Linked DNA regions of Callithrix jacchus. The protein of the gene in region 7 interacts with the protein of the main gene of each other region in a biochemical or structural test. Links are inferred from orthologs where the notes say so. Each region holds a gene or a part of one and is shown on either strand. Other genes may lie near its edges. The genes, in order: CDC34, UBASH3A, OTUD1, WWP1, torsin-1A-interacting protein 2, RNF126 and UBC.

Evidence for each region.
Region 1: of the proteins of UBC (region 7) and CDC34, one has a biochemical effect on the other in vitro, tested with the Homo sapiens proteins (10 studies listed by BioGRID, with this or other methods). The link is inferred for Callithrix jacchus from reciprocal best matches to the Homo sapiens genes UBC and CDC34.
Region 2: the proteins of UBC (region 7) and UBASH3A form a complex in vitro, tested with the Homo sapiens proteins (4 studies listed by BioGRID). The link is inferred for Callithrix jacchus from reciprocal best matches to the Homo sapiens genes UBC and UBASH3A.
Region 3: the proteins of UBC (region 7) and OTUD1 form a complex in vitro, tested with the Homo sapiens proteins (2 studies listed by BioGRID, with this or other methods). The link is inferred for Callithrix jacchus from reciprocal best matches to the Homo sapiens genes UBC and OTUD1.
Region 4: the proteins of UBC (region 7) and WWP1 form a complex in vitro, tested with the Homo sapiens proteins (2 studies listed by BioGRID, with this or other methods). The link is inferred for Callithrix jacchus from reciprocal best matches to the Homo sapiens genes UBC and WWP1.
Region 5: the proteins of UBC (region 7) and torsin-1A-interacting protein 2 form a complex in vitro, tested with the Homo sapiens proteins (2 studies listed by BioGRID). The link is inferred for Callithrix jacchus from reciprocal best matches to the Homo sapiens genes UBC and TOR1AIP2.
Region 6: the proteins of UBC (region 7) and RNF126 form a complex in vitro, tested with the Homo sapiens proteins (3 studies listed by BioGRID, with this or other methods). The link is inferred for Callithrix jacchus from reciprocal best matches to the Homo sapiens genes UBC and RNF126.

What each region holds. Positions count from the first base shown.
Region 1 is NC_133523.1:505,363-508,504, reverse strand, and holds the end of CDC34 (ubiquitin-conjugating enzyme E2 R1), read right to left. Parts: intron 1,212-3,142; coding exon 998-1,211; 3' UTR 501-997; downstream 1-500. UniProt on the Homo sapiens protein: E2 ubiquitin-conjugating enzyme that accepts ubiquitin from an E1 ubiquitin-activating protein, and catalyzes its covalent attachment to other proteins by an E3 ubiquitin-protein ligase complex. In vitro catalyzes 'Lys-48'-linked polyubiquitination.
Region 2 is NC_133522.1:48,266,989-48,269,851, forward strand, and holds part of UBASH3A (ubiquitin-associated and SH3 domain-containing protein A), read left to right. Parts: intron 1-276; coding exon 277-421; intron 422-1,126; coding exon 1,127-1,233; intron 1,234-2,134; coding exon 2,135-2,244; intron 2,245-2,863. UniProt on the Homo sapiens protein: Interferes with CBL-mediated down-regulation and degradation of receptor-type tyrosine kinases. Promotes accumulation of activated target receptors, such as T-cell receptors, EGFR and PDGFRB, on the cell surface.
Region 3 is NC_133508.1:23,883,671-23,887,699, reverse strand, and holds the start of OTUD1 (OTU domain-containing protein 1), read right to left. Parts: upstream 2,801-4,029; 5' UTR 2,418-2,800; coding exon 975-2,417; 3' UTR 1-974. UniProt on the Homo sapiens protein: Deubiquitinating enzyme that specifically hydrolyzes 'Lys-63'-linked polyubiquitin to monoubiquitin.
Region 4 is NC_133517.1:40,734,736-40,738,690, forward strand, and holds the start of WWP1 (NEDD4-like E3 ubiquitin-protein ligase WWP1), read right to left. Parts: upstream 2,801-3,955; 5' UTR 2,632-2,800; intron 1-2,631. UniProt on the Homo sapiens protein: E3 ubiquitin-protein ligase which accepts ubiquitin from an E2 ubiquitin-conjugating enzyme in the form of a thioester and then directly transfers the ubiquitin to targeted substrates.
Region 5 is NC_133519.1:23,518,208-23,521,707, forward strand, and holds part of torsin-1A-interacting protein 2, read left to right. Parts: intron 1-1,442; coding exon 1,443-1,961; intron 1,962-3,500. UniProt on the Homo sapiens protein: Required for endoplasmic reticulum integrity. Regulates the distribution of TOR1A between the endoplasmic reticulum and the nuclear envelope as well as induces TOR1A, TOR1B and TOR3A ATPase activity.
Region 6 is NC_133523.1:625,004-629,303, forward strand, and holds the start of RNF126 (E3 ubiquitin-protein ligase RNF126), read right to left. Parts: upstream 2,801-4,300; 5' UTR 2,708-2,800; coding exon 2,633-2,707; intron 1-2,632. UniProt on the Homo sapiens protein: E3 ubiquitin-protein ligase that mediates ubiquitination oF target proteins. Depending on the associated E2 ligase, mediates 'Lys-27'-, 'Lys-29'-, 'Lys-48'- and/or 'Lys-63'-linked polyubiquitination of substrates.
Region 7 is NC_133510.1:128,100,836-128,104,650, forward strand, and holds UBC (polyubiquitin-C), read right to left. Parts: upstream 2,413-3,815; 5' UTR 2,398-2,412; coding exon 568-2,397; 3' UTR 501-567; downstream 1-500.

The DNA.
Region 1 (3,142 bases), on a different chromosome or scaffold from region 7:
AAGGGCGCCAAGCTTTCCCCCATGAAACAAAACGACTCCAGGGACTTCCTGATGCCAGGATGCGAGGTGCCTGCCCTGTATGCCCAGGGCCACGGCTCTCCCACCCCAAGGGTCTGCCTGGACAACGATGGAGCCCCCAGAGTGCTCAAAGGGGCAATCTGTGGCCTTGAGCCATCCCCAGATTGCTGATGGGGGCATTTGTGGCCAAGGCACCAGGATCAATGCCCAGGCGGCTGTGGCCCTGGGATGAAGCTTTGCTGGATGCCTGCAGGGGCAGCTCCTGTCCCCTGAAACACACCTGGTCACAGGGAGGAACTTCGGGGGCTTTCAGTTCACTGCAGGCTGGGGGATGCCGCCCAGGCCCGTCTGACCCCAGTTTGTGAGCTACGGGCTATGGGAAGCGGCTGCTCCCCACGCCTCCTGAGAGGCATCCCGGACCCACACCAGGCGCAGCTGGGTCCCAGCAGGCTGCCTCTCCCTCCCCACAGAGCTTCTGTGGCTTCTCATAAAGTAGTTTTATTTAGATTCCACACAAACCAAAGCAGAGAGAAGAGTTGGCCACCACGAATCTGTCCACTTGCACTGGGATGTGGCTCCGGGCCCTGGGGCCGACACGCTGGGCCGGGACCCTCAGGCCGGCAGCCGCCCACCCACGTTCCCTGCTGCGCTCCCTGTGACTCCTCTGGGCTGCAGCCAGTCTGGAAGCCGCGGCGCCTGGGCAGAGGCCGGGACTCTGTTCCCCTCCCGAGAGGACAGGTGGGCTGGCCACTCCCAAGCTGGGCCCCCGTCCACAGAGCCCCGAGTGACGTGGGTGGCGGTGGGGCAGCCCCTCTTCTCTGAAGCACATGAAAACCCAGAACAAACATGGGAAGGAGAAAAAGAGCCAAACAAAACAACCAGAGAAGGAGCACAAAACCTCTGTGAGGTAGTCTGTGGTCTAAGGATCCATACGGTCCGGCCCTAGTGAGGTGAACTCTGCGTGTTTATTTGAGCGGTGTCAGGACTCCTCGGTGCCCGAGTCGTCCTCGTCGTCCCCGAAGCAGCTGTCAGCCTCCCCCTCTGCCTCGCCGTCCTCGTAGTAGTCGTCATAGAAGAGGTCCGAGCCCTCGTCAGGCGCCGGCGCCTTGGTCTTCACGCAGTACTCGGCCAGCGTGGTGGGTACCTTCACCCCGTCACGCTCCGCGTCCACCTTGGTCCCCAGGACCTGCTTCCTGGTGGGACAGGATGGGTGAGGGCGCCACACACGGGCCTGGACCTGGCCCCTGCCCCCAACCCCCATGCCTGACGCTCATCCCAATGCTCCGCTGCGTTCAGCAACCTCGGAGGAAAACGCTCGAAGTGAGGAACTCCGGAAGGGAGACACAACAGAGGACGGGCCTGGGAAGGGCAGGAGGCGCAGGCAGGAGGCTGACGGGCGCAGTGCAGTCACATCCACCCATCCTGCTCTGAAGCACACCCCACAGGGACCCGTCAGGAGCTGGAGAAAGTCATGACACCGGGTGACAGGGAGTGCCCGTGCAGCCCCACGTCGGGGCAAAAGACTTTCCTGAGTGCAGGAGCAAAGCAAGCAGCTGGGGGTGCCTGAGGACAGGAGTCAGGACCATCCTGGAGCCGAGAACCAGCACAGGTGGGACGGGAGACGCAGAGACGGCCAGAGCCTTGCCACGCCCTCGCTAGGATTCTAAACCAAGGCAGGCCTGGCCACGCTGGCCTCTGGCAAGAAGGGAGGATGAGTTAGCACCAACTTTCCAGAGGGCATCATGGACACCAGGCCCTATAAGGATGGCCTACCCTGAGCTCCACCTCCATGACGCACATCAAGAACGTCCTTCTAGGACTCCCGGCAAGGGGCTTCTGGGTGCCCGCACAGCAAGGCCGGGCTGCACAGTGACCCCATTTGACAGAAAACAGGAACAAGGCTGCAGCCTCAGGCGATAGGCTAGGGACTGAAACCCAGCCCTCAAGCCCCATCACAGACCAAGAAGGCTCTGGCCCTGGCTGCTCCCAGGGTGACCAGGACAGCGCTGGGCCTGGCAGCTCCTGGGGTGTGTGGGTTCCACAGTGCCCGCAGAGGAGGGCAGCAGGGCGTGGACAGACAGCCCCAAGCCCAGAGCTTCCTCCTGTAGGGAGGTGGGAGGCATGGAGGGCCGACGTCTGGCCTCTAAGACGTCCCTGGGCAGACCCGGCAGATGCCGCACTTTGTTTCCCGAGCTCTCCAGCAGGCTGGACACAGAGGCTGAAGTGGGCAACGGCGCCCTGAGGCCAGCACTGAATGGGGGTGGGGGGGTGGGGCGTGGGGAGACCCAGGGGAGGTCCAGGATGGGACCTGACCTGCCAGTGGCACACCCCCAGCATGAACTGGAAGACTGTCTGGCCGTGCTGTCCAGCAAGACCAACAGCCCTGAACAAGCCGGGCTCACAGCACCTGCCCCACACAACGCAGTGGGACTCTGGCTGCCATAAGGCCAACACACACACGATTTAAAAACAAGCAGAAAGCAGCGACCACATCAGGCCACATGGGCACACGTGAGTTGGCCTGCAGGGAGTTTCGAGGGATAAAAATAGTGTGGCTTTTATTTCTGTGCTGGGATCTGAGGGGGAGGTACCTCAGGGAGGTGGCCAGGAAGAACCGGGCCAAGGAACTGGCCACATGTGCCAGGTGACACGGCTGGGCCAGGGCCGCTGAGGGCATCTGCACCGAGGGACTGCCAGGCCGGCTCCCCCCTGACCTCCAGAGGCCAGTGGGTGCTGGCAGAGCACCTCCCAGGATGCCACACAGGGGCCTGTCCACTGTGGCTGCTCAGAGCAGAGACTGCCCAGCACCACGATGCTGCCCCAGGACAACTCCACGACACCAGGTGCCAGCAAATGCAGGAGGGAGTGCAGACGGAAGGCACTGGAAGCTCGTGGGGCCCGGGCTGGGGACACACATGGATTATGGGTGCAATATTTTAAAGATTTTTTTTTTTTTTTTTTGCCTTAAAGGTTGCTTTTAAAATTCTGCTTGGCCAGGCGCAGTGGCTCACGCCTGTAATCCGAGCACCTTGGGAGGCCCAGACGGGCAGATCACAAGGTCAGAAGTTCAAAACCAGCCTGGCCAAGATGGCAAACCCCATCTCTACTAAAAATACAAAAAGCA
Region 2 (2,863 bases), on a different chromosome or scaffold from region 7:
GGGACACTCACCAGTTCTCAGGAGACTCTGGCCCTTCCTGGCACACAGGGGGTCACCACTCCTCTGATACCTTCCCACGGCTCATCAGTTCTCACCTCAGAAATACCATGGCTGTGCCTAATCACAGAACAGTGTTTGCCCTGAAGAAAATCACATTGTTTTAAAGGCATGATTTAGAAGTGTGTGCATGAGTCTGAGATCTACAAGGAGACTTAACTTATGCAAGGTCAGCGTGGACGTTGAAGATGATAAACACTTGTATTCTGTTGAATCCAGAACTCAAACTGGAGAAAAAAATCAAGATACGAGTGGAGCCGGGAATATTTGAATGGACGAAATGGGAAGCTGGCAAAACCAGCCCAACCCTCATGAGCGTGGAGGAGCTGAGGGAGGCGCATTTCAACATCGACACTGATTACAGGTGTGCTCTTCTAAAGTTCTCTGCCACTGGGGCTTTTCTAGTTCTTGTTAAGGAAAAATTTCATGACACTGTTAAAATGGTGAGAAAGACTTTATTCAAGAGGGACCACTGCAGTGGGGTTTGCAGCAGGGGAGGGAGACGGGGCTCGACTCCTAATACAAGGACAAGTGCGGATTTGTAGCCACAGAGCAGGGTAGGAGCTGGTGGCTGGAAAACTCCTGAGAAGGCGGGTCATTCTTGCTAAACTGACACAAACAGGGCCTCCTGCTGGAGGCAGGCCAAGGTGATCAGATGTCACTTGAGGGTGGCAGAGGACAAGGAACTTGATCAGAGACCGAGGGTAACAGGTTCTTGCTAAACTCACTCTGCAAGAACAGACACAGAAGCCCAAGGGTCAAGCCTGCATGGAGAAGGTTAAGGGGAGCTGGACTGGAGTTTGGTCAAAGAGAGTCTTTGTTGTTCTCCACCCATGTCTGACTCTGCCATCACAGAGCCCTCCTGGTGTTCACTAAGAATGTGCTGGAGACTGACTGTTAGTGCTTTGCCAGTTTTCAGCACAAAACTAGAGCCTCCCGGTTGCCCATGAGCCCAGCCTTGAGGCAGAGCCGTCCCAGAAGAACATTCTCCTTCCCTGGCTAACTGCAGCCGCGTCTCCTGATCCTACCAAAAGGCCAGGGCAGCAGCCTCTCCCTCTCCTCCTTCCAGGCCTGCGTTTCCCCTGTCCGCCCTCAGGCCGGCCGAGAGCTACCAGGAGTACGTGGACAGGTGCACAGCGAGTGTACTGCAAATCGTCGACACGCGTCTGCAGGACAGTAAGTGCCTCACCATCCTCGGCACGGACAGCCCCTGGGGCTTGGGGATTCTCTCTGAGACGGCGATTGGCTGACTTTCTGAACCTATGAATGCCTTCACTTCCCCTGCCCCCACATTCTCCAGCCACAAAGTGCTCATTGCTGCTGCTGCGGTAACCGGGTGCATAGACACGCGCTCCCCCTGCCACCCTGGGCCCCGGGACCCCTCATCCCGGGACTGAGTGCTGATGGGCTGATGGGACCCAGGCCAGCAGGGTCAGCACAAACCACCCGCGTCCAAGGGATTCGAGTCAGTTTCCTGGGAAACAAAAGAGACAGAGAGGAGAAACAACCAACTTCTACTTGGAGCCCCCTTCCTGACCCACCACACAGGTCTCCTGACCCTCCAGCATTGCTTTGTCCCAGATGAAGCGCACGCAGAAGCACTGGCTTCCCACCCCTTCCCCCGAGCTGGCGGGGACACGCATCTCACCTGAGGGAGCCCCCTCCTCCTGTGGTCTCCAGGTGTTCTGTACACGAGTCATTGTAGGCTCGTGTAACAAAACAACCAATTGGCCATTCAGGCCCGGGCAGCAGCCACCGTACCCCATCCCACACGGGGCCCAGGCAGCGGCCACCACAGAGAGGGGGCAGCTCAGTTCACTTCCTAGGCCTCCCTGAGGCTGGCAGGCAGCTGCTGCACGCGAAGGAATCCACGAGCGAGGGTGGGATGCAGGCGTCACTAAGCCATTACCAGCCACACTACCTCCTAGCCCAGGGGTCGCTCTGGGTAGACTGTGGGGTCCCCAAAGTGTACGGAGCACTCTGAGCTAGCTCTGCCCCAAACACTTTGGGGACCCCAGTCTTATAAAAGGTGCTCTCTGGGCCTGCTTTGACCTGGAGGCGTTCGTGTTTCCCACAGCAGGTGTCATCCTAATTGTGAGTCACGGCTCCGCGCTGGATTCCTGCACTCGGCCACTGCTGGGGCTGCCGCCTCGGGAGTGCGGGGATTTTGCCCAGCTCGTGAGAAAGGTACGTGCTCACTCTTGGCTCTTAGAGCCACAAAGTCAAGCACCCCAAAGACACAGGTTATCACACCCCTTCTTGGGATGAAAACAAGTATCCAGCTGACCCAGGATCCACGTGCTCCTGGAGACGGTGCCCACCTGCTCCTGTGCAAACGGTGACTTCCTTGTGGGGCCGGTGGATAGGTCAGTCCTCATCATCACTGGTCACCTGCCGAGGTTTTACCAGTCAGCTCACCCTATCACCCCTTGCAGCTCTCGTAGAAAAACAGACAATCCAGAAAGGAGTAAGCAGTGTGGATGAGGAGAGAAGAAAGGACTGCATGACTCACCTGGCCTCCTCTGGGGACCTGCGCTAGGGCGGCTGACGGATGAGAAGGAGCCCCTCGGTCCTCTTGCTCTTGGAGTCACCCAGCACAGAATAAGCTTGATCTGTAGTTGCCAGAGTGCTCAGGTGCTGGCCAGGGCCTTGCGAATGACAAACAGAGGTTGATGCACACGTGGCATCTTGGACAACCTTGACTATCACCCAGCAAAGTGAGAGGGTGCCATCAAGTCCATGGGTGAACTGAGGCAGGCAAATGCAGGAGCTCAATCCCACCGGCCCCGGCCCCTTCTGTGCAGAT
Region 3 (4,029 bases), on a different chromosome or scaffold from region 7:
TTTTTTGCCTTTTGAAAGAATGTAAAAGAAATACTAAGACAGTGTTCTCCTGCTATAACTGCCAAGGTTGGCTCCAGACATTTATGACATTAGTTTATAAATCTCTTAGCTGGATCCAAGAAGTTATATAAAGCAGGAGGCTTATCTTGTCACAAAATTTTATACCAAGTTAGATTCTCTTATAACAAAGTGACAAATGTAAATAAAACTGAGAGCACCAGACAATTTACACATTAACCAGGGTACAGAATAATCACTCTGTCATCGGCAAATATCAGACTTTCATTCAAGTAAGACCTGGTACTATCCCTTAAAAGAAGAAAAAAAACCTTCCCACAACCTTCTGTTAAGTATTTCTCTTTAAAAGATTCACCATTTCTAGAAAAATAATTATTTCCAACAGAACAGATTTGTTTCATCAAAATGGAATGGGCCAAACACTTGGTAACAAGAATACATCAATATCCATCTGAAATAATTATCTAAGAATTGTGAAAATCAAATTTCAACAACGTAAGAACTACCAAATCACAAACTCTGTTCAAAATAATACATTTCATATAAAGCACTTCTCTGGATTTATGCTTGAAAGCTGTCAAAATGGGACACGTCATAGATGAAGGTACACCAGTTTTTAAAAATGTTGTGCAAAAATACATTTTTATAGAAAATAGACTACCAGGAATGAACAAATTTACACTGTGAGAAAACAGCTTGCAAATTAAGTAGTGCTCACTTTATACAGCAAATTATAAATAGCAGTAAAATCACCCTAAGCTATCATGAAACATCATTTGGGTGCCCAGCAACCTTCAGCTCTGAGAAAACATTCAAAAAGATGATTAAGGCATTACACCTACAGTAAAATCTACTAGGAAGTTTGAAAGTGCTATTACCCTGATTAGAGTTCACGTGATTCTCCAAACACAAGTTATGTATGCAATTTTCCCAGGGTGTTAAGGTTTTGAGACACTTCAAGAGCATGCGTTTTGTTCAATATACATTTTAGACAGGGATATGGCCATAGATTTGGCAAGTTCTTCATCGCGTTTCCTCTGCACTTGAGTTTGTTTGCACCAGTTGTCGTACTCTGGGTTAGGATAGGAGTGATCAAATACAGCATCATAGTGTCCGTTACTGAGCCAACTGAGCCAAATACTGGGCCTCAGGGAATCCTCTGGGCCCAAATAATGAATCATGGTAGACACCGTGGGGCTCTCCAGCCTCCCTCCAGTAGTTAAGTGGATATTCACATTCAGCATCTGCCCCATGGCCAGCAACTCGGGGTACCCAGCCCATGCCCCGTCTTGGGCAGCAGCGATGAGAAACTCCCCTACGTCGCCCTCAATCAGGGGGTTGAAGTGGTCGAGATGGTCGGCGATGTAGTGCACGGTCTGCTCCCTCAGCTCTCGGTGCAGGCTCTGGTCGCCGTACACAGTCTTGCTGACAGCTCGGTACAGGCAGTTGCCGTCGGGAATGATGTGGAATCGATACTTATTTCTCTGCCGCAGGTATTTATCCTGCTTCTCCACCTCGGCCAGGTACAGGGCCAGCTTCTCGTCTCTGGGATCCGACCTGGGGACAACCACCGGCTCCACCGCGCTGCTCGGGGCAGCCTCGCTGCTCCGGCCGGGAGACACCTCGGCCTCCGGGTCGGGCCTCCGAGCCGCGTTCCCGCCAGGCGCGTCGCAGCGGTCGCCGCCCCTCTCCCAGGCCCGGGGGCCCCTCTCCGCCAGGTGCTCCTCGCCCCACGGACCGGGGCCGGCGTCGGGACTCCCCGGGGTGGGCGCGAGGCCTCGATGCTTGGCAGCGGCCAGGGCCTGGCAGTGCTCGCTCAGTCGGAAGTTCCGATCGGGCCCCTCCCGGGCCGCCTCCAAGCCCGTCTCGGGGCAGTCGGGCCGCAGCAGCTCCTCCAGGAGCCAGGCGGAAGAGCCCCGTCGCGGCGGGATGGGGGCTGCGGGCGCCGGGGCCAGCAGGAGGCAGCGGCCGCGCGGGGCGGCCGCAGAGCCCGCGGCGCCGGGAGCGGGCTCGGGCCCGTGCAGCAGGAGCCTGTCGGCGCCCAGGGCCCGCACGGTGATCTGCGCGGTGGAAGTGTAGTGCGGCGGCAGTGGCGGCTTGCAGGACGCGCTGGGCGGGCCGGCGGCTGCGGATCCGGGCGCGGTGGCCCCGGACACCACTTCGAAGCAAGAGGAGAAGGCAGGCATCTTGGCGGCGGGGACAGCGGCGGCTTCCCGGGGCTCTGTGGCCGCGGCGGGCTGGCACTCACCGGTCTCGGGCTCGGCGCCGGCGGTTCCCGGGGGCTGCAGCGAGACCTTGAAGGGGGCGGCGGCGGTGGCTGCAGGCGGCGCGGGGGCTGCGGCCGTGGGACCCGGGGCCCCGGCGGGGTAGTGGGTGCAGACGCTGCTGTAGAGCTGCATGTCCCTGCCCGCCGCTCGGCCCCTTATAGGCGCGGCGAGCCCCCGAGCGGGGGACACACCCTCCGGGCCCGGGGGAGGGGGCCGGCGGAGCGCGGTGACCAAACGGCCCCAGAATAGAGATGAGCGCCCGGTCGCCGGCCGCCGCGCGTCAGCAGCCGCGAATAGCTCCCGGGTCCCGGCCAAATTCCTGCTGCGCCACAGCGTGGGGGGAGGGCGGGGACGGGACGCGCGCTCGACCCCTGCCGGTGCGCTCGGCCTGCAGACCCTGGGCGCCTTGCCCGCTGCAGTTGCTGCGGCGGCCGCAGGGGACTCTCGGAAGAAGCTACCCACCCCGCTAGAGCGCGTCTCGCCGACAAGGAGGAGCGCGGGGCGCGCGGAGGCCCGGGAGGCGGGGCCGCGGTTGTTTACCTCAGGCCTCGCGGCCGCGTCACATGACCCCGCTGGAATGCGCGACTCGTCCGGGCGCCCGATTCAGCAGCACCGACTCGCCCCACCCACTCCGGCCCGCGCCCCGCCTCCTGTCCCGCTCCGCTGTGCCCCGCCGACGTCACGGGCGTAGTCCCCCGCGCGCGCGCGCGCACTCGCGCGCGGGCGGGGCGGAGCCGGGGGCGCTGAGGCTCAGGGGCCTGCGCAGTCTTGAGATTTCTGGCTGGGCCTCCCGCCCACGTGACTCCCGCGGACCGTTTTCCCCACCTGGGGACGGGTTTCTAAGCTGCGCCGCTCTCTGCGGTGGCTGCAGTGGATGCTGCGGGATGGGCGCTGCTTGGGGCGAGCTAGCATGCTTGGAAAGCTTGTGTGGCAGGAAAGCTTCCGGGCTGGGTGTGGAGGACGGAATGCTGCCTTAAAGCCTGTTTGGCCTCCCCATGGTATTGGGCTACCATACCTGCTTGCGTTCACCACTGCTTCTTTTCTTTTTTTCTTTATTTTTTTTAGAGATGAGGGTCCCTTCTGTCGCCCAGGCTGTAGTGCAGTGGCTCAGTCAGAGCCCACTGCACCCTTGACCTCCCGTGGCTCAAGCGATCTTCCAGCCTCAGCCTCCAGAGTAGCTGGAAACCACAGGCGTGCACCACCTCACCCAGCTAATTTTTTTTTTAAGGCGAGGGCCTCACTTCAGTTGCCCAGTCTGGTATGGAACTCCTGGCCTTAAGCTGTTTCCCGCCTCAACCTCCCAAAGTGTTAGGATTGATTACAGGCCCAAGCCACCACGCCTGGCACTACCACATCTTTTACCTTTTTTTTTCTTTTTGAGGCAAGGTCTTGCTTAGCCATCTAGGCTGAATGCAGTGACGCCATCATGCCTCGACCTCCAGGGTCCAAGCGATCCCCCTTCCTCAGCCTTGCCTTGGGTAGGGATTACAGGTGCCCAGCTAGTTTCACCACTGCGTCTTTTGTAGGCGCTTCCTTGGACTCACCTGTTAAGAGTGAGTCCTCTAGTGGATCCTCCTGCCCTGCTAAGACAAAACAAACTTTTCTGCACCTCTGACCTATGCCACCTGGTAAATATCTGACTTAGGCGAAAGCAAGGAAGCCTTTCATAAACAGCCGTTCTCAGAATACCAAAAGCATTATCACTTAGGGCCTTTTGAAAATAGGTACAATTGCTAGCCAGAGG
Region 4 (3,955 bases), on a different chromosome or scaffold from region 7:
AAAATTAGCCAAGTGTGGTGGGAAGTGCCTGTGTTTGCAGCTACTCGAGAGACTGAGGCAGGAGAATCTCTTGAGCCTGGAAGGTGGGAGTTGCAATGAGCCTGGAAGGAGTGAAAGAAATTCTACCTCAGGAAAAAAAAAAAGCTCCAAGTAATTCTGAGATGGGTGCCATGGATGACCTTCAGATGGTCCACGGACTCTCCTAAAACTGTAGCCACAAAGCACAGGTACATATGGAAGTTTTCCAGGCCAGCAGATTTCTTAAGTTTCACCAAGAAGTAGTAATCCCCAAAAGGTTGTAAAGTAGCACACATATGCTGAGGGTAAAGCTTCATGATTTTGCTCAAAATGGTACCACGTTCTCCCAACCAACCTGGATCAGAATCTGTTACTTTTACTTTCTTCATTTGCCCTCTCATCAAATTTTGGCTATTCTACTTCCTTTCTTCCTTTCCATTCGCGTGCACCACACCTCAGACTACAACACTTGGGAGGTCTTTCTACCTCCACACGCTCCCTACCTCAACTCACACTACAGGCTGCTATCCCACTAATCCCTCTGAAACAAAGTGTTCAAATTGTTTTACTCCCAATTCAAAATCATCTGTGGAAGCCCCACCACCTAGTAAATCCAAGGTTCATAAGCCTGGCATTAAAAACAACCCATAAACTGTTCCAAATTTCTACTTCATGTTTTATCACCCTTTATCCAAATACAAATAACACTATGTTCCACCCAAACATAATTACTTGCCTCTCCCCAAACAGGAACTCTGTGCTCTCTTAGAGATCCCTCTCTGCTTGGATTACCTTTCCTGCCTATCCAAAGTCATAGTGATCCTTCAAAACCACGATTTCAGAAGCCAGAAGCTCTACGAACTAACCCTCTTATCCCTACCTTGCCAAGTAAGATCTGAGCTCTACTCTCTTTGAAGTTGACTTCTGAGAGGATTTTGGTACTGTTTACGAAACGTATATATTAAAAGACAAATAGGGCATTTGTTTATAGCACTATCTACCTAATTAGTGTAAAAGCAGAAACTGCTAATCAGTTCATTTTTGTATTCCCCAAAATATCCCCCACAATTATGCAGTAAATGCCTAACATCTGTACAAGGAAGTAAAGGAAATTTCAGCCACCATGGGGTAAACAGCAAAGATTACTATCTCTTTGAAGGCAGAGACTTTATCTGTGACATTCTCTATTAGGCCGACTTCCAAAAAACATAACTAGTAATTATTGCTTTTGAAAATCCTGATGTCATAGGTCTTACCAGCAGTTTTGCATTTTAAGGTAAGAACTATCTGAAAATGTTAATAAGCTAGGTCCCAAAGAACTATTTCACATACTTTACAATTTTCAATCTGAGTAGATCCAAACACTTGGCCATTATACTTTCCATTTTTAAAATATTAACTATTTATGAAAGATGATCATTTCTAGTCGCAGCTAATTTCCAACTTGATAGCTAAAAACAAGTCACACAATACAAGAACGACTTTCTTTGCTTGCATAATACACACAGATTTGGTGAGGCAGGATTTACACATACACATGAACTCTTGTAAAAAAATAAATAAATAAAACCTGCAGATAACTGTAAACCCATGTATTTCTGGCAAAATCACCAAACGGAGAAAACAAAGACAACTGTGGATATTATTTTTTTCCCCATTACTATTACCAGTAACATTTTAAAGCAGAAACACAAAATCTTGTTCCACATTAACCTACATACAAAAAAAAAACCAAAACTGTTAAACTTTTCAAATAGAAAAAGAAAGCAAAAGCCCCTGGAAAATATTTTACTGGAAGAGTGAATGTCAAAATTATAACAGATGCTACTCTTCTTTGGTAATGAAGGTTTCATATAATTACCAGAGCAAAGAAAACTCCAAATCCACAGAGCAGAGAAGACTGTGAACAAGACTGATCATTTAAAGGTCGTAAAGGTAAGGGGCAAACAAGAAAATGAAAAATTTTATAAAAGAAAACGAAGATGAAAGGTAAGTGTGTAAGTCACAGACAAGATAAGGACTGGTAAAAAGGACTGGTAAAATCTGCAAGGTCACCGGGACCTACCAGGTCACAAAAGGTAGAGGTGGGGGTTGCGCTGGGGGGGCAGGGAGGGGAGCTGCAGAGTCGGTGAAGAACCGGGAGTGACAAAAACACGTCAGAAAAAGGCATTCCAAGGCTGGAGTCCTTGGTTTGCAACATTGAAATTGGGGTGAAAACTCAGGGCACGGGCAATGAGTCCCTATATTTGTGTTCTGAGTGAGGTAGGAAAAGGTGAAGGAAACCGAAGAGAAGGCTGAGGAAGAACCGCGGCTGCAGAGTCACGGAAACATTTAGCTCCGCTCAGGATCACTGGCACAGGCCTGTGCCAGGGCCAACTCTGGGCAAGACCCGTGACCCCACCCCAGAAAACTCCCGGCTCCCGAGCTGGAGAAGGCGGAGAAGGCAGACAAGGCAGGGTGGACCGTCCTCTCACTGCCCCTTGGAGGGTCCCGCCCGCAGGCGGACGGCGCCGGGTGCCGGGCACCGCGGCCAAGGCTCGGGGCCCGCGCCCCCTCCCTCCCCGCCCGCCTCCCCAGTCCTGCGCCCCCAGCCCCGCGCCGCGCAGTCCTTACCCGGCGCGAAGCTGTCGGCTCCCGGCAGCCGGGCGGCCACGGCAGGGACACCTCCTCCTGCGGCGGGCGCCCTCACCCTTCCGCGCCCAAGATCGCCATCTCTTAGCAGGCGCGGCGGCGGCAGCCACCCAGGCGTCGGCCCCGGCAGCCCAGGCCGCCTCAGACACTCGGAACCCGCACGCCGAGCTCGCCGACACCCGACCCTCCCCCCACCCCCACCCCGGCCACGCGCCACCCCCAGGCGACCCCACACCTCCCTTCCTCGGGAGCGCGCTGCGTGGCAGCGTCGCCGGCGCCGCGCCCCGAGCGCGCGCCTCCCCGCCGGCCCCGGCACCGCGCGCGACGCCGCGACAGCCCAAAGCCTCCAACTCCGGACCCGGAATCGGCCTCCCCCGAGCATGCGCAGCGAGGGCGCTCGGAGGCTGCCTTAGAAAACTCCGCTCCTCCGGGTCCTGAGAGCGGTCGAGCAAATGGGAGGGACAGCCAATAGCAGGGAGGGGCGGGGCCTGAACCTGTGGAAGGGGCGGGGCCGCCGCTGAGATTTGGGAAGAGGCTGTTCTAAGACCGCGCTGGGCACTGAGAACACGACTTTCCGGTAGGCGGCCGATCCCAGAGCAAGACTTCTTAAGGTCCTGGGGCAAAAGTAGGCTGTTCATAACTACTCCCTGACCTAGCTGAGGGTTTGACTTAGAACCCATTGCAAGAGTAAATAACTGCATTTATCCATGGTCATACCCGAAGACTTGCAGTCCATTATTTATTAATCAAAACCTTCATTCCCCTGCCCTCACTCACATCAGCCCAGTGATAAAGCTAATACTTCCTGAGCAAGTACACGTGTTGGCACAATTAACCCATACAGCAATCCCATAAAGTAGCGTCTACTGTCTCCATTATACAGAAAAGTCAACTGGTTTAGGAAGTGCTGTTGGTTATGTGTAGCTTTTAGAAGAAAGGCTAATGTGCAAATAGAAGTCAGTGGAACCGCATTACTTAACAGATGATCCGGTTTTCTACTTCAGAGAAGCAGAAGCCTTCAGGCATGGATTTCTACAATTTTTCCCCAATCAACTCCCCCATAGATTATCCCTACGTCCACACTTGTTTTCCTTCTGTCTGGGAGGCTAGATGTCCCTGCCCACACCACTGCCTGCTCTCCACTGAGAGCAGTCCTTTGGCACTTTTTTTTTTTTTTTTGACAGAGTTTCACTCCGTCACCAGGCTGAAGTGCAGTGGAGCGATCTCCGCTCACTGCAACCTCTGCCTCCTAGGTTCAAGCAATTATTCTTCCTCAGCCTCCCAAGTAGGTGGGACTACAGGTTTG
Region 5 (3,500 bases), on a different chromosome or scaffold from region 7:
GAGAGAGAAAATCTCTGATGACTGAAATCTGAAGTTTTAAAGTAAAAAAGCTAATTCAATGGATTCATTTGCTTTGATTATACTTATTCTTTCAGATTTACTGAACTTCACCGTAATGTGAGACCCTAATTATAAGGAAGATAAATGTTTTAGAGACTCCAATAGTAGGGACTTATAGCAATGGAAAAATACAATGCTTCTTTAAAAAATGATGGTAAACAAATCTTTAGAGTTATATACATCCCGTGATGTGCTATTTTTAGAAGGGATTTTCTTCGTTTTTTTTCTTTCTGTCATCCAGGCTGGAGTGCAATGGTGGAATCTCAGCTCACTACAACCTCTGCCTCCCAGGTTTAAGCCCTCAGCCTCCTGAGTAGCTGGGACTACAGGCATGCGCCACCACTCCCGTCTAATTTTTGTATTATTAGTAGAGACAGGGTTTTACCACATTGGCCAGGCTGGTCTCGAACTCCTGACCTCATGATCTGCCCACCTCAGCCTCGTAAAGTGCTGTTATTATGGGTGTGAGCCACTGCATCCGGCCGATGATGATTCTTCGTAAAAAATGTAATTACAATACCTTTATCACACCTAAAATGATGAATTATAATTCCTTGGTGTCATCAAATATCTGGCATTTAGATATTGCCGATTGTGTCATAAATATTTCTTTAATGATTGGCTTATTCGAAACTGGATCTAGACATTGTGGTTCACATATTGTATTTGGTTGATGGTCTCTTAAGTTTCTTGATCAGTAAGTTAAGAGACTCCTTTTTTCCCCTTTTCTTGCCATTTATTTTAATTTCTTACTGTTATTAAAGAAACGTCTTTTGGAATTTCTCCCATCCTGCATTTTGCTGATTATATTCTTGAGGCATAATTTAATATATTCCTCTATCCCTATATTTCTTGGAAACTGGTAGGTCTAGAAGCTTGATCAGATTTCAGTTCACTTGTTTGGCAAGAATACTTCTAGGTGGTCTAGAGTACTTCCTCCTGCGTTATATTAGGAGGTAAATGATGTCTGCTTGGGTTTCCCTGTTTTCATGATGATTGGTCACTGGGTTCAGCAGTTGTCAGTCTGGCTCATCCACTATAAAAGTTCCCATCAGCCTTTGCATAAGGTTTCAGCTACCATTGATGAGCACTGCCTTTCATTAGGGAAGAAGATATGTTTAATATAACCAAAAGTTGGTTCTGACAATCTGTTGGTCATACAAATTGTTTTGTATTAGTGTTATTTTAGATTTATTGACATGTTAAGTTTTTGTTGTTGTTTAAATCACCTTTAGTGGGAGCCAACAGAAATAATGTTTAGGAAGAGTGTCTTGTAAACCATGAAAATCTATATAAATATTATTATTAAACAGAGACACTGTTAAAATATAAATTTATGGGGAATTTTTTCCAATAAGAATTATAAATTTTTATCTCAATAGACTCTCAAAAGGATTTGGAAAATGATCCATCAATAAATTCTCAGGCACAAGAGACCACAATCATAACAAGTACTGCTGAAGAAGCTCAGACCCTACACTCTGCCGCTGGTCTTAGCAAAGGCCACCAAGAGGTAGAGACAATAGGTCCAGAAAATGTAGTTACAGGTGATAAATCAGAAAGTCCAGATGAAGCAAATGTGGGGAAACATCCAAAGGATCAAATAGAGCATGAGAACAACCAGAGTTTTCTGGAGGGTGAAAAAGGGCATCACCTCCCTTCAGAAAGTCTGAGTGAAGAACCCCTGGATCCAGATCCCAGCCATTCTCCAAGTGACAAGTTAGGACGAGCAGACGAACACTTAGGGAGCAGCTCGGCAGCCCTCCCCACGGAAGTGATTGACGGAATGGGAGCACCTCAGGAACCTCCTGCTGCAGGCTCCCAGGAGGCCGAGGGTCCTGGTCATTCCAGTGCAGGGCAAGAGGGCGAGGATACACTGAGGCGGCGACTGCTGGTCCCGGGTAAGAGAACCCTCTGAACTACTCTCCTATTTTGTATGGCTCTGTTGACTGAGAACACATCAGAAGTCAGAGGCCTTCTTTCCAGAGAACTTTTGTCTATCTTTCGTAGGATTCAGGCCTTGGAGCCCTGCCCACGCTTGCACAAAACCATACGACTGAGTGGATTTTGGAATGAGGTTTCTCATCTAAGCTAATGGCTAGCTTATTCCATTATATTAAGTTGCTTCCTACACATAAACTGCATTTCTAAGCAAGGTTTTTTTTAACTGTTAATGTGATATGACAAAAAGGGACATGACTTTTAAAAAATTTGCTTTTGGCTTTTTATTTCTTATGAGAATATTTTGACGTACAATTTTTGAAATCTTACTTTTTGGGGAACTAAATGTTACATCAATCAAGAGATGGGTATATTTGAAAATGAGCATTAATTGGACAGTATCCTTAACTCAGTCACGATTCAGTTTTATAGGACTTTAAGTCAGTTAGTTTCTCTATACCTGATTTTGTCTGCCTATATGCTAAGAGGAACAAGCATGTCTTCCCTTATGAAGGTAAGCATTGCAGTGTGCTAAATCCTTAAATGGAACTCAAGAGGTGTAAATTCTAGTTGTGGCCCTATCACTTGCTAACTTGGGTGACCTTTGGAAAGTGTCTTCACTTCCTGGTGCTTCAATTTCCCATTTGTAAAACAAAGAAGTTAGACGAGAAGCTCTCACCTTCTGTGATTGTCTATGTGGATTTGTATTTTATAAGCACTTGGAAGAGCTCAGTCTGAAATGCCCATTTGCCAGTGCAGTTGTGTATGCGCCAGGTGCAATTGCATATGCCTCTAGTCCCAGTCACTTGGGATGTTGAGGTGGGAGGACTGCTTGAGCCCAGGAGTTCGAGCCTGCCGTGTGCAATGACCACCCTTGTGAATGACCTCTGCGTTCTAGCTAAAGTGCCTGGGCCATGTAGTGAGACCCCATCTCTTTAAAAAAGAATTCACTGTTAGGCAGGTTCACTGTAAGTAGAAAAAATAATGTTTTGTTTTTTGTTTTTTTTAGCTGGAGTCTCACTCTGTTGCCCAGGCTGGAGTACAGTGGCATGATCTCTGCTCACTGCAACCTCTGCTTCCTAAGTTCAAGTGATTCTCCTGCCTGAGCCTCCTGAGTAGCTGGGATTATAGGCGTGTGCCACCACGCCCAGTTAATATTTTTGTATATTTTTAGTAGAGGCGGGGTTTCATCATGTTGGTCAGGCTGGTCTTGAACTTATGACCTCGTGATCTGCCAGCCTCAGCCTCTTAAAGTGTCGAGATTACAGTCATGAGCCACTGCGCCTGGTGAAAAAATATTGTTTAAAATATCCAGTTTAGGCCAGGTGTGGTGGCTCACACCTGTAATCCCAGCACTTTGGGAGGCTGAGGTGGGTAGATCACAAGGTCAAGAGATTGAGACCATCCTGGCCAACATGGTGAAACCCCATCTCTACTAAAAATATAAAAATTAACTGGGCGTGGTAGTACACGCCTGTAGTCCCAGCTACTCGAAAGGC
Region 6 (4,300 bases), on a different chromosome or scaffold from region 7:
CCCAGCTGCCTGGGAGAAGCCACCACACACAGGCATTCAGCCCCGGCAGGCCTCCGGGTCAGAGGCCCGTAGGGGCTTCCTGACACCAGCCTAGGTGTTTCAGCAGCAGTGGCGCCACCTCAGACTCAGCCTCGGGGCAAGCTCACCACCGGCAGAGACGCCCATTTCGAGGGTGCTGGTGGTGGCTGGGGACTTTCCCCATCACCAGATTTGGAGCAGCCTTCCTGCCCCAGAACAGGTGCGCCCAACTCCCAGCACAGAAAATCCGTTTTTGTTTCTTTTTGAGACAGCGTCTTGCTCGTCACTCAGGCTGGAGTGCGGTGGCACCGTCACAGCTCCATGCGGCCTCCACCTCCCAGACTCAAGCGCTCCTCCCACCTCAGCCCCGACAGTGGCTGGGGCTCCAGGCGTGCAACAAGACACCCACCACTTGTTTTTATGTCTTGTAGGGACAGAGTCTTGCCCTGTACAATGAAGTCCTGACACCGCCACACTGTCTACTGGCACCATGTTACGTCCTGCTCCAAAGGCACGAGCAGGTGCCCTCGGGATCACTGCAGGGTGAAGACAGGCACTCCCCTCACCCACACACCCGCTCCCTGCACTTGTTTACCAACGTTCATGACCAAATATTTGTCAGCCGCGGTTCAATGCTGGCTCCCCGGCCAGCCTATAAATTCCGTGAGAGCCAAGACCAGGACTACCAGACACCACTGAGTTTCCATGACTAAAAGAAGGTCCTCCCCAGGCCCAGTGACAATCGGAAGAGGTCAGGGTCCTCCTTGTCCGAGGCCACAGGGCCAGGAAGTGGCTCCACCACACCAGGATCCAGCCCTGTGCAGGCTCCCAGAGCAGCCAAGTATCAACAGGTCAGGGCTAGCCACCTCCAACAGCCACAACTCCAGGCTTCCCAGGACCTGTCCCAGGGCTCACACAGCTGTCAGGGGCTGCCCTACAACTCACCCTGGCAGGCAGTCTGTCAGCCAACCAACCCCTTCTGCCACGGCCAGGGGGCACAGGAAACAGGAAGGGGCAGGAGTGAGAACCCTGAGAGGCACAGCAGCAAGACAAGGCTCAGCCTCAGCTCCCTAATCTTCGCCCCACACCCAGGATTTTACTTGATTTGTTCCTCCTGCTGGGGAGGGGAAGCCCTGTGGCTTCAGCAGAGAGGAAGCCACACCTCTCTACTCTCTCCACTCCTGGCCTGTGTCACTGCTCTCCCGTCATGCCCCAACTCTAGCACTGGTTCCTCCTCCGTGACCAAGAAAGCTGCTTCTCCTGACTCCCTCCAGCCCCTTCCGGGGTCTCTGCTCCCAAGGAACGCTACTGCTTCTGGAGGGCTTGGGCGCCTCTAATGGGTCAAACCGTAGCAACAGCCGGGTGGTAATGCACAGAGAGAGCACAGAAAATCCTCAACGCCTGCAGCCTCTTCCCGTGGGCACAGGGTAGGGAGTCCAGACACGGCTCCACCTCTTGCACCTGCTCCCCTCAAGTTGGCAGCTCCCGACTGAGCAGGCTCTGCCTTTTCTGCTGAGCCACCACGGACCTCAGTTTCCCCATCTGCAGGCGTGGCTCAAAGAAATCACCACTTTCCACATTAGCCTGAGAAAGGGAAACACTGGTCACAAATGCAGACCACCGCCGGGCACGGTGGCTCACACCTGTAATCCCAGCGCGTTGGGAGGCAGGGGGATCACTTGAGCCCAGGAGTTCAAGACCAGCCTGGGCCACACAGTGAGACCCTGTCCCTAAAAATAGTAATAGGAACGCCAACTGCCGAGCCCGTTCCAGACCTGCTGACTCCGAAACCCCGGAGAAGGGGCCTGGAAATAGCACGTTCCACGAGCACCGCTCCCACCTGCCCCCAAGGTGACATCAGGTCCGCGTGGGAAACATCGCCCTAAATAAGCAGGAAGTAACACTCGGAACACCCAGGCCCGGGGTCCCCTTGAGCCAAGGGTGGCTGTAAACACTTCGAGAAAGGGTGGGCTGCTCAACCCAGCCCCGGGAAGGGAAGAACGCAGGCTCGGGTCACAAAGCCCTGCCGGAGGGCCGCGGTCGGAGCCCGGGACGGTGCCTGGAGCCTTCCGGGCCTGGGCCTGACTCCCAGGCGGCGGCCAGGGCCCCACGAGGCGAGCCTAGGGCGCCCCGGACTGCGCGCTCGGCGGGGGTCCCCTGGCGTTATTCTCGGGGTCTGCGCCCCGCCAGGCCCGGCCCGTGGCCCGCACCGCGCCCCTGGGCAATACCCTCTGCTCGCCGGGCCTCACTTTCTCCGTTTTACAGAACCAGGCTCACGGGGTTCGGAGGAGCGTTCCCACCTGGGGTCCCCGCGGCCTCTCGGATCGAGAAGGCAGAGGATGTGGGATCACCCGACCCAGCTGCGCCGCCCCGGCCAGGCCCCGCCTCCCCCCTTCCGGGCCTCAGTTTCCCGCATGTGCAGGACGGGGTTCGCGCCCGCACCGCCCGGGCTCCCCGCGGATCCACCCTGGGCCGGCGCTGTCCCCACCCTCAGTTTCCCCGTCGTGGCCACCTCGCGCGAGGAGCGGGCACCGGCGACCTCCACCCCGGCCCGGGCCTTGCCTCAGGCCTGCGGCACAGACCCTACCGCCCGCCGCCCCGGCCCGGGCCTCACCGGCAGGCGCGGGACGATCTCCACGGAGCAGCAGTGGCAGAAGTACCGTCCGGGCTGCGGCGACGCCTCGGCCATGGCCGCCGCCGCCTACTCCGTGCCGCCCGCCCCCTGCGCGGCGCCCGCCGCCGGCCGTTTGCGGCTCCCTCGCCGGCCGACGCGCCCACGCACGCTCACGCACGGCACGCACGGCACGTGGGGCGGGACGCGGGCGCGGCGTAATGCTGCGCACTCGGCGGGCGGCGGGCGGGGCGACGGTGGCCGCTGAGAGACAAACTAGGCCCGGCCGATGGGCGGGGCTCCGAGCGGGGGCGGGGTTCTGGAGGGGCGGGGTTCTGGAGGGGCGGGGCCAAGCCCCGGCGGAAGAGACGAGGAGCGAAGCCCTCCTCGCCATTCAATCCTGCCAAGGCCCTCCTTTCCTTCGGAGCTTCCCTACCTTATCGTCCTCTCCCCTCACGGTACTGCAGACCCCTGTCCCCACTGCTCCCGGGGCTCTCCAGGCGCTCTCTCCGCTCCGGGCGTCTGCACCGGCCTAGTCCCCCTACCCCGCCCGGTGCCCCTCCCCCGACGCCCACGTGGCTTTCTTCCAGGCCTTTGCTCAAATGTCAGCTCACGGGGTCTTCTCTGCCGCCCTCCTGCCCCGCGGCACTGATTCCCACCCCGTGCACTGTAAGGCCAGCCGCGCGGCCAAGGGGTGTTCGCACCCGCAGTAGCGCCTGACACCCGGCAGGCGTTCCATCAGCGCTGCGAAACGCCTGCAGACCGGGGACTCGGCTACCGGCTGTGCCTCACCGGGACCCGGGGGTCAGACAGAGGCTGAGGTCTGTGGGGTGCGGCCTTGCTTTCCAAGATGTTTTATGCCCAGGCGCCTTTGGAGGGAGGAGGAGGCAGGAAACCTAACCCCGCTTCCAAAATTAAGCAGTAGAGGCCGGGCGCGGTGGCTCACGCCTGTCGGAGGCCGAGGTGGGCGGATCACTAGGTCATGAGTTCGAGACCAGGCTGGCCGATATGATGAAACCCTGTCTTTACTAAAAATACAAAAATTACCCGGGCGTGTCAGCGCTCACCCGTAATCCCAGCTACTCAGGAGCCCGAGGCAGGAGAATCGCTTGAACCCAGGAGGCGGAGGTGGCAGTGAGCTGAGATCCAGCCACTGCACTCCAGCCTGGGCAACAGAGCAAGCAAGACTCCCTCTCAAAAAAAAAAAAAAATTTTTTTTTTTTTTAGAAAGAAAATTAAGCAGTAGAAACAGTAGCATCACCCAGCGCAGGATGATTTCTGAGGTCAGCTCTGGCCCAATCGTGCATTTATTTTTTTATTCACTCAACATTCACCGCACACCAGACCCCGTGCTGAATGCACGCAGACACCTCCAGCCCCATGAGATTGGACCGGAGGATGGGACTCGACGGTGGCCCTGGCTCTGCCTGGGGAGACAAAAAAGGTGTCCGAGGGGAAACTACATTGGATTCAGGGCTTTGAGGGATGAATAGAGTTTCGCTGGAGTTGGACATCCTGCAAAATGAGGCATTGGAGCCAGACTGTTGAGGAATTAAGAGTTGGAGACTGGGCATTTAGAGTTTGTTTTTGTTTTTGAGATGGAGCCTCGCTCTGTCGCCCAGGCTGGAGTGCAGTGGCATGATCTCGGCTCACTGCAACCTCTGCCTCCCG
Region 7 (3,815 bases):
CCTATGTACTTCATTCTTTCACAGGGACCCTCTCATCACTCCCACCTTTTAATATTCCTTCTCCCTTCCTGTTACCTCACACACCCCCAACCAGTATTTTTAAGTAACTTGAAAAAGTATCTCCCAATAACCTGATTACGACAGTCTTGCTCTGTTCCCCCAGGTGGAAGTACCGTGCTGCGATCTCAAATCACTGCCAACCTCTGCCTCCTGGGTTCAAGGGATTCTCCTGCCTCAGCCTCCGGTGTAGCTGGGATTACAAGCACCTGCCACACCTTTTTGTATTTTCAGTAGAGCTGGGGTTTCACCATGTTGGCCAAGCTGGTCTTGAACCTGCGTTTTATTTGCACCCACTTTCTACAGTTCATATTGTAAATCTACCTCCCCCCATTCACTGACATTTCATGGTTACCACGGTAACATTTGCGGACTGGAAACCTTGATCCCCTTCACCCTATCTAATGCAAAAATACCTTAACTTAAAAAAAAACCCACACCAATTGGGAATGCAACAACTTTATTGAAAGAAAAGTGCAATGAGATTTGTTGAAACCTTAAAGGGGAAACTTAAACACCCCCCCTCAAGCGCAGGACCAAGTGCAGAGTGGACTCTTTCTGGATATTGTAATCAGAGAGGGTGCGCCCATCTTCCAGCTGCTTTCCGGCAAAGATCAACCTCTGCTGGTCAGGAGGGATGCCTTCCTTGTCTTGGATCTTTGCCTTGACGTTCTCAATGGTGTCACTGGGCTCGACCTCAAGGGTGATGGTCTTACCGGTCAGGGTCTTCACGAAGATCTGCATGCCACCTCGGAGACGGAGAACGAGATGAAGGGTAGACTCTTTCTGGATGTTGTAGTCAGACAGGGTGCGCCCATCTTCCAGCTGCTTTCCGGCAAAGATCAACCTCTGCTGGTCAGGAGGGATTCCCTCCTTGTCCTGGATCTTTGCCTTGACGTTCTCAATGGTGTCACTGGGCTCGACCTCAAGGGTGATGGTCTTACCAGTCAGGGTCTTCACGAAGATCTGCATGCCACCTCTGAGACGGAGGACAAGGTGCAGAGTGGACTCTTTCTGGATGTTGTAGTCAGACAGGGTGCGCCCATCTTCCAGCTGCTTTCCGGCAAAGATCAACCTCTGCTGGTCAGGAGGGATACCTTCCTTGTCTTGGATCTTGGCCTTGACGTTCTCAATGGTGTCACTGGGCTCGACCTCAAGGGTGATGGTCTTACCAGTCAGGGTCTTCACGAAGATCTGCATGCCACCTCGGAGACGGAGAACGAGGTGAAGGGTGGACTCCTTCTGGATATTGTAATCAGACAGGGTGCGCCCATCTTCCAGCTGCTTTCCAGCAAAGATCAACCTCTGCTGGTCAGGAGGGATACCCTCCTTGTCTTGGATCTTGGCCTTGACATTCTCGATGGTGTCACTGGGCTCGACCTCAAGGGTGATGGTCTTACCAGTCAGGGTCTTCACGAAGATCTGCATGCCACCTCTGAGACGGAGGACGAGGTGCAGAGTGGACTCTTTCTGAATGTTGTAGTCAGACAGGGTGCGCCCATCTTCCAGCTGCTTTCCGGCAAAGATCAACCTCTGCTGGTCAGGAGGGATGCCCTCCTTGTCCTGGATCTTGGCCTTGACGTTCTCGATGGTGTCACTGGGCTCGACTTCAAGGGTGATGGTCTTGCCGGTCAGGGTCTTCACGAAGATCTGCATGCCACCTCGGAGACGGAGGACGAGATGAAGGGTAGACTCTTTCTGGATGTTGTAGTCAGACAGGGTGCGCCCATCTTCCAGCTGCTTTCCGGCAAAGATCAACCTCTGCTGGTCAGGAGGGATGCCTTCCTTGTCCTGGATCTTGGCCTTGACATTCTCAATGGTGTCACTGGGCTCGACCTCAAGGGTGATGGTCTTACCAGTCAGGGTCTTCACGAAGATCTGCATGCCACCTCGGAGACGGAGGACAAGGTGCAGAGTGGACTCCTTCTGGATATTGTAGTCAGACAGGGTGCGCCCATCTTCCAGCTGCTTTCCGGCAAAGATCAACCTCTGCTGGTCAGGAGGGATGCCTTCCTTGTCCTGGATCTTGGCCTTGACATTCTCAATGGTGTCACTGGGCTCGACCTCAAGGGTGATGGTCTTACCAGTCAGGGTCTTCACGAAGATCTGCATGCCACCTCGGAGACGGAGGACAAGGTGCAGAGTGGACTCCTTCTGGATATTGTAGTCAGACAGGGTGCGCCCATCTTCCAGCTGCTTTCCGGCAAAGATCAACCTCTGCTGGTCAGGAGGGATGCCTTCCTTGTCCTGGATCTTGGCCTTGACGTTCTCAATGGTGTCACTGGGCTCGACCTCAAGGGTGATGGTCTTGCCGGTCAGGGTCTTCACGAAGATCTGCATTGTCTGTTTTGACAAAAAGCCAAAAACCACCAGGATTTAGCAATTTATTAGCCTTCCTAATGCTGTAAGTTAAATGTCACATTGACCCAAACAATTAAAACTTGCGTTACTTCACAAAACACACTCACCAGCCTGTTTTCAAAACCCAGGCTTCAACTCCTTACAACCGTAGGTACACAAAACCGACCGAAGACACTGAAGCCTCGCTTACCCTTCCCTCTCGGGAGGTCTGGCGCCTGTCGATTCAGGAGGTCCTACCCTAGGCCCAACCCTGCGTCCTGCGACGGAGAAGAGCCCACCGCTCACCTCCCGGCAGGTGGCCCCGCCCCGCAATTATGAGCCGACAGAACGAGAACGGGTGACGTCACCACAGAGCGAAGGCGCGCTCTCCCCCCCCCACAGCGCGCCCCATTGCCGCGCGGCCACGCGGTAACCGCTACCCCCGCAACGGACAAGACGAGCTCTCCAGTCAATCACAAACTTCACGTCAGGGTCCCCCAATGGTGCCCCAGCCCATCCCACGAGAATCAGAGCTTTCCGGCATTAGCGAAGGCCTCCAAGCCTTGAGTCCATGCCCCCCAACCTTGTTTCAACGACCTCACGGCCCGCCTCACAGGCGTCTTCCACGCAGCGCTCGGAACAGCCGCCATTTTGCTGCGTTCTCCCCACCTCAAGCCCACCTTTCTAGCGGACACAGCCGACAGCCCTCCCCAGTCTCTAGACCCGGGGCGGCAACCCGCCTCCATCCCACCTCGCGGCCGTTCGGCCCCGAAAGCCCCAGCCCGCCCAGAACCCCACTGCTCACCAAGCGGCGATGACAGCAACGGACAAACCACGAACACAACTGCACTCCCGGCTGCGACGGAACTAGCTGCACCACGCCCGGAGCGTCCTTATATAGTCATCGGCGTACACCGCCCCGAGGAGATCCCTCCGCAGAACCGCCGAGAAGGGACTATTTTTCCCCGCCTGTTCCGCTCTCTGGAAAGAAAACCAGTTCCCTAGAGTCACCCAGGTCCCGTCCTAAAATGTCCTCCTGCTGAGACTGGGGTTCTGGGCCGAGTCTGGTGGGCAGCGGGCCGCCGTCCTGAGAGGCCGGGCGGAGGGATCAAGGCACTAGCTGCGCACTGCGATTGTGACGTAGCGGCGCTCGCCGTGGGGAGGGAGCCGCCCGCGGGAGGCGCCAAAACCCGGCCCGGAACTGCGGCGCCTGGAGTCGGTGGGCGGCCGGCGTTCTTCGGCTGCGATCGTGCACCCCCTCCCTTCAGCCCCCGCGGTCGCCACGGGTCGCCAACTCGTGTTCGGTGGACGTGGGGCGGGAACTGAGCGCCTCCCGCAGAGTCGGGGTGTCCCTCCCCTCCCCCGCGACCTGCCCTGGCCCACCCCGCGAGACGGACAGGACTTTATTTTGGGTCACA